Mus musculus: one gene and its partner. The protein of the gene in region 2 interacts with the protein of the main gene of each other region in a pairwise test. Links are inferred from orthologs where the notes say so. Each region holds a gene or a part of one and is shown on either strand. Other genes may lie near its edges.

The links.
Region 1: the proteins of Hdac6 (region 2) and Erbb3 interact in a protein complementation assay, tested with the Homo sapiens proteins (2 studies listed by BioGRID and IntAct, with this or other methods). The link is inferred for Mus musculus from reciprocal best matches to the Homo sapiens genes HDAC6 and ERBB3.

Annotation. Positions count from the first base shown.
Region 1 is NC_000076.6:128,572,636-128,576,156, reverse strand, and holds part of Erbb3 (receptor tyrosine-protein kinase erbB-3 precursor), read left to right. Parts: intron 1-121; coding exon 122-175; intron 176-1,682; coding exon 1,683-1,818; intron 1,819-2,625; coding exon 2,626-2,745; intron 2,746-2,883; coding exon 2,884-2,982; intron 2,983-3,212; coding exon 3,213-3,398; intron 3,399-3,521. UniProt on the Homo sapiens protein: Tyrosine-protein kinase that plays an essential role as cell surface receptor for neuregulins.
Region 2 is NC_000086.7:7,934,369-7,937,889, forward strand, and holds part of Hdac6 (histone deacetylase 6), read right to left. Parts: coding exon 3,475-3,521; intron 3,388-3,474; coding exon 3,259-3,387; intron 3,105-3,258; coding exon 2,936-3,104; intron 2,708-2,935; coding exon 2,574-2,707; intron 2,083-2,573; coding exon 2,014-2,082; intron 1,895-2,013; coding exon 1,702-1,894; intron 1-1,701.

The DNA of each region.
Region 1 (3,521 bases), on a different chromosome or scaffold from region 2:
TCCCAGGGATCAAACTCAGGCCCTCAGGCTTGGCTGCAAGTATATTCATCTGCTAAGCCGTCTTGTTGGCCCAATCCTCTCTTGTCTACTTACTGTCTAAGAAGGTGATTTTCTTTTCTAGGTGTAAGGGACCAGAACTACAAGACTGTTTAGGCCAAGCAGAGGTATTAATGAGGTAAGATCGGCTTGGAGAATGTTGGGTTCAGGAATGTTTGGGAGAAAGGTCAGGGAAAGAACGATGTTATTTGTTCTGCCATATATATATATATATATATATATATGTTTTACCTCATTTATGTCTCTGCACTACTTGCTTGCCTGGTCCCTTTGGAGGCCAGAAGAGGGCATGAGATATCTTGGAACTGTAGTTATGAATCTATGAGCCATTATATACGTGTTGGGAATTGAACATGGGTCCTTCACAAGAACAGCCAGTGCTCTTAAGCACTGAGCCTCTCTCCAGTGGCCCACTCTGCCCTTTTAAGTTTTCATTTTTAGCCTGGTGGTGGTGGTATACACCTTTGAACTCAGTACTCGGGAGGCAGAGGCAGGCAGATCTCTGAGTTCAAGGAACAGTCAGGGCTACAAAGAGGAACCCCTGTCTTGAAAAAAAAAAAACCCAAAAAATTATTTTTTACATTTTTGTTTATTTTGTTTTTGTAACATGGTGTCTCTATATAGTCCTGCCTGGCATGAAACTTGCCGTGTATGCCAGGGTGTTTGATAACTCACAGACATCCTCCTGCTTCTGGGTCCCAAATACCAGGATTAAAGGCATGTAGCACTATGCCTACCTTTAAAAGTTATCTGTTTTACTTTATATGTATGAATAGTGCCTTAATGAATGTTTGTATGTGCACCATGTGTGCCCGTGCTCAGGGAGACCAGCAGAGGGCACTGTGTTCTCTAGGATCTAGAGTTAGGATAGTTCTGAGCCACCATGTGGGTTCAGGGAACCAAACCTGGATCCTCTTTAGGAGCTCTGAACTGCTGAACCATATCTTCAGCCCCCCACCCTCACCCCCTTACTTTAAATAATATTTGTTTTGTTTTTAAAGATTTTATTTATTATTATACATAAGTACACTGTAGTTGTCTTCCGACGTGCCAGAAGAGGGTGTCAGGTCTCATTACGGATGGTTGTGAGCTACCATGTGGTTGCTGGGATTCGAACTCAGGAGCTTTGGTAGAGCAGTCAGTGCTCTTACCCGCTGAGCCATCTCACCAGCCCTAAATAATATTTGTTATTTATTATTTGGAAATGTAATACAGTTATGTGATATCTTTTGATCATACCAATCCACCTTTATCTCCTTCCAGATTACCTTCATGCCCTTCCCCTTCCTGATTTCCTGTCCTCCTTTTCATTGTTGTTATTAATAACACCCTGGGTCTATTTAGTGTCACTGGTATGCACGGGGTATGGGACTGTCCACTGGAGCCATTCTTCCCTTTTATATATATAGTCCACCATCCCTGGACTCAAGAGTCCTGGCTTCTCGAATTCTCTTCCTAGATTAACTTAAACTGGCTTAAAAGGGGGCAAGCCCTGTATCTGGGTTGATTCCTTCAGTGCTCATGGGCATTAATAGAGATGAATGCTAACTCACATGTACACCAAATAAATGACCTTTGTGAAGCCACTGTAAACCCAGGATGCTGGCCTTTTCTGTATCCCACAGCAAACCACACCTGGTCATAGCGGTGACAGTAGGACTGACTGTGATCTTCCTGATTCTGGGAGGCTCTTTTCTCTATTGGCGTGGACGCAGGATTCAGAATAAAAGGGCTATGAGACGCTACTTGGAGCGGGGTGAGGTGAGTATTTATCTAGCTTAACTTTGGGAAGCATCCTTTACAATCTGCTCCCAGGGAAAATCGATGAACCTTGGTTCTCTTTCTCAGGAAATATGGTCCCTCTCTTTGAGGGGATGGTATAGAGCTATGGATACAGCTCAGAATGCTTGCCTAACATGTACAAGGACCCAGGTTCAGTCCTAGCAACACGAATGTACAGTGCACATATGTGTACACTCCAGTCCAAAAAGTAGGGAGATGTTCTCATCTTGTTTTTGCCTTTTGCCACAACGATGAAGAAACTACTTTCCTTCTCTGTGGCTCAGTTTATGTCTCTTAGATACAATAACATTCATCCTTCCAAGGTGATGGGTAGTGGTATGTGCAAGTTCCTTGAAAGCTTAAGCATTTTGGTCCAGGGCAGTAATTCTGGCACTCAGCCAAGGCAGAAAAGATTGCCCTGAGTTCAAGACAAGTCTGATCTACACAGCAAGTCCTCATCTTCGAGGACAGAGGGATAGAAAACCAGAATCAACCTTGCATGAAAAGTCTTCGAGATGGGGGTACCACCATATCTCCTCGATTCCCTCCTCCTACTCAAAGGGAAACCAATCCCTCTTGACCTTTCTCATCAGCACAGCTTCCTCAATCCTATAGTTCCTGAAGTGTCTGTTGTTCCTCAGTGAAATTATGAAGCTTTCCAAGACTAAGGACTTATCTTCTTACCCTAGGCTCTGAGCTCTGCTGCTCTTGGTGCAGAGGCAATAGGTGGGACTAGGCTTGTGGGAGTGGGCTTTTACAAATAACTCCTTCCTGTCCACCCCTCAGAGCATCGAGCCTCTGGACCCAAGCGAGAAGGCAAACAAAGTCTTGGCTAGAATCTTCAAAGAGACAGAGCTGAGGAAACTTAAGGTGCTTGGCTCTGGTGTCTTTGGAACTGTACACAAGGTGAGTGACTCTTGGGAAGTCTAGAGAAGTGGGAACAAGATGCCAGGGAAAATGGGAGAAAGATTTTGGCAGAACACTGTCTGAAAAGAGTGATTTTTTTTTAAACCTCCCTCCCTCCCTCCACTTCAAACTTTCCAGGGGATTTGGATTCCCGAGGGTGAATCCATCAAGATTCCAGTCTGCATTAAAGTCATCGAGGACAAGAGTGGGCGGCAGAGTTTTCAGGCTGTGACTGATGTAAGTTAAAGAAGGGACTTCATCTGTAATCTTCAGACTCCAATTAAGTGGATGCCATAATGAGAGAGGCAGTGTTGGTTTCGGGCATGTAGGCATATGATCTTGTGTTGGCAAATAGTGTGTTAGATCCATCTTAGGCATGAGTGTTAGGGGACCTCTGGATTGGGTGTGCTTTTGTGGAGTGTATGCAAACCCGTTACTTCCTGGCTAACACCTCTTATATTTTGCAGCACATGCTGGCCGTCGGCAGCCTGGACCATGCCCACATTGTACGGCTGCTGGGACTGTGCCCAGGGTCATCTCTGCAGCTTGTCACTCAGTACTTGCCTCTGGGCTCTCTCCTTGATCATGTAAGACAGCACCGTGAGACACTGGGACCACAGCTGCTGCTCAACTGGGGAGTACAAATTGCCAAGGTGAGGGGAGTCAGGGGAGGCCTTTGATAGCAACAGCTTAGCTGGGGAAGGTCGGGGTTGAGGAAGGAGGATTAAGGGTTTGAGGTCATGAGTGCTGTCTTCAAGGTGTGGCCAGCTGCTATT
Region 2 (3,521 bases):
TAAGTGATGGGAGGAGCAAGGGCAAACGAAGGCATCCGAATTCAAGTCAAAACCCAGATGATGTGAGACCCAACATCTACAGTGAGTTCCAGGACAGCTAGGGCTATAGGGCTATAAAGAGAAACCCTGTCTCGAAAAACCAAAGAGAGAGAGAGAGAGAGAGAGAGAGAGAGAGAGAGAGAGAGAGGGAGGGAGGGAGGGAGGGAGGGAGGGAGGGAGGGAGGGAGGGAGGGAGGGAGGGAGGGAGAGAAACCTGACATCTGAAAAGCAGGAGTGGAAGACAGGGACACAAGGAGAAACAAGACATGGCAGGCCTGGAAAGAGACAAGAGTATACCCGCCAGAAACTCAAGACACTGGGAGAGAGGCTGGAGAGATGGCTCAGCTGTTAAGAGCGCTGGCTGTGGAAACAGGACTAGGGTTCAATTCCTAGCACCTATATGGCAGCTCACAACTGTCTCACTCCAGTCCCAGGGGATCAGATTCCCTTTTCTGGCTTCCACAGTCATGAAGCAGACATGTGGTACACACACACACACACACACACACACACACACACACACACACATATATGGGCAAAAATCTCTTGGGAGATACTCTAAGTTGACAGAAGGCAAGATATAGAGTTATGACATAGATATGGCTCACAGAAAGAACATGGAGACTTGGAAGGCAGGAGATAGTGACAAGAGAAACAGAGACATAACCTCTCTCTCACATACAAGGGTCAAATACGGGACCCACATTCACATGATACAGGCTTTTATACACAGACTATAGACAAATAAAAGTGTCATACACTTCCACTCCCAACCAGACAGGTTCATATTGATAGGGCTGCAAATCCCACCACTTACGCTTGGGTTTCTCATGGGACGATAATACACAGCCACCCCTGCACAGTCACAAAGATGCACAGTTACAATGCCCACAGCAGGCTATCGCTTGCATGCAGTTACACATACACATAAAGGGTAGCCTCTGTCGCCTGTGCATAGTCACATGCATGCAGATGTAAAAGCAGAGCCCGATGTTCAGGCTTGCAGAGTTGTGTCCTCAGTGCATTATCACACACACACACACACACACACACACACACACACACACACACACACGCCATTGGCCCTGTCCTTAGCTCACACACAGCTAGGTCACCCCTGAGTCAAAGCAGCCAGCGAGATTCATATATAGACACGTGGACCCAGTTAGACGGGTGTGGGTGACAATGTCACTACGGCCTTCCATATTCAGAGTCTTTCTTAGGCTATCACAAGACAGCAGCATTTAATGACATACACTATCACACTTATCACACACAGAAAGGAGATGACAGCCACTATATAACATTACATAGACATATCCATAATGTATTTAATCTTATGCTTCTATTCTACACAATTCCACAACAGTATCTCTTAGGGATACCCTTACAGCCATGCACTCAGAAGAGCAGACAGAATCAGAAGGCACACACATGCATATATACACAGAGCCAAGACAGTTGTTTACGTGTAAAATGTCACAGAGATAGGCCACTCACAGGCACCCATATATGCATAGGCAGACAGATACATAAGGCCATCCCCACCACCCTGTCCCAATAGCCATCATAGGATTAGTCACCTGGTAGTCAAAACACACGTCAAGGAGGCAGATGTGTGCTGCCAGATACAGCAATGTTATATAATAACCTGAGCCTTACCTCATAGGCGATGGGAAGTACCAGACGATGCCATGCAGCCAGGTAATCAGCATCACCCATGCGGGGCCCATTCCAGGGCACATTGACAGTGAAGCCTATACCTGCATCTCGGCCTACTTGGCTACTGGCACCCTCATCCCCCATGGGGAAGAAAGTGCCACGGTCATACCGGTGCAGGGACACGTATAATACACTGCCAGGGAGAGGGTGGGATGAGAAAGGGGCCACAGCAGGTTAGAGGCTATGAACATCCCTGCAGGATGCTTCAGCATCCTCTCACACCATACTCTTACCCACAGTCCCATCACTCACCTAGGGTCATCCTCAAATATGTGCTGAGTTCCATTACCATGATGAACATCCCAATCCACGATTAGGATCCTGGGGAGGGAGATAGCCCTTTTTAGCACCTTGGGACAGTAAGGCCTAGGAGTGGGCCACTGCTAGATTTCTAGGGTCTTTGGAAGCACTTGTTGCTGGGCAACAGGACCATGGAGTTAATGAGAAAGCACTGCTATTATTCTAAGAATGAAGGTCCAACCTTGGCTTCCTGAACTATGGACCTGAACAAGTAATTAAGGCTAGGGACTCTTCTAATGCTAGGAGCCCAGGCATGGGTTCTGTTGGGATAACCTGTTCAGGAATGCTGGTGTGATACCCTGGATCCTAGTTTATTAAGCATCTAGATGCCATGGCACTTAACACACCCGTCCTGGGGCTTTTGTAGTCAAGTGCTGCCCAGTGGACCTTTGCTTGTTTCTGTGTAAGCTCCCAGGGGTGACCATGGGTCTGCCAAGTAAGACTGAATGGAAAGAGTAGCCAGATCCCTGCAAAGATCGGGTTTTGGGGGTCTCTGGGGGGGCAGGCCTTACCGCAGGGCACGTCCAGCAATGATCTGGGCATGGCGAGCAGCTACAGCTACTGAGTTGAAAAAGCAGAAACCACAGGCAGCATTTGGCTCCGCGTGGTGTCCTGGAGGGCGCACTACTGCAATGCCATTTAGAACCTGTAGGGAGGAGCAGCGAGACTGCCTCTGGCCCTCACTCTCTTTTCATCTTTCCCAGGCTTCCCTTTCTCCTGTCCGCCATCCACTCGGCCATCCACTCCGTGGTTCCCCTCCCAGCAGACTCTCCTATTGCCTCTGGCCTCCTGAGTGGGAGCAGGTAGTCCCTCTCTATGTTCCCAGGACCTCATTTCTTCAGCTAAACTTCACTAGCACACAGAGAAGACGCACCTCTCCCGAGAGCACAGCTTCCACCAGGCGGCAGGCAGCGCCTGTGGCAAGCTTTGCGCAGGCAAAGGTGCTGGGGCAGATGTAGATGGAGTCAAAGTTGGCACCTTCACGGTGCAGATCCCGGGTTTTCATCTTTTCTGTGGTGCGGAGATGCTCCACGTACTCAGCACTGGTGATGCAGAGGAACAAGAGTCGCCAGCTTGTCCTCACATAAGAACTTGAACCTGTCTAGGTGGCTCCACCCATCTTGGAGAGCCCTAGGCCCTACTCCTGGAACATCCCTAGAATCCTACAGCCGGCCTCCCCCCAGCACGGGGTCTGACCTGTGGCAGGTAAGGAGCTCAGAGTCCAGGGCAGGCCGAGCAGGTAGGATGAGACAGCGAGCCGCAAGGCCCACCTCCTCCAGGTGACACATGATGCGTAAGATGCGCTGAGGTGTCTCAGGGTGATGACTAACAGTGTGGAGAAGCAGAGCCAAGGGTTTAGTGACTGAGGAGAGTGACCCAAACACCACCCACCCCAGCCCTCTGAGCACACACTTGTCCCAGAGGTTGCAGTGACTCATCATCTTCTCATCATAGACCAG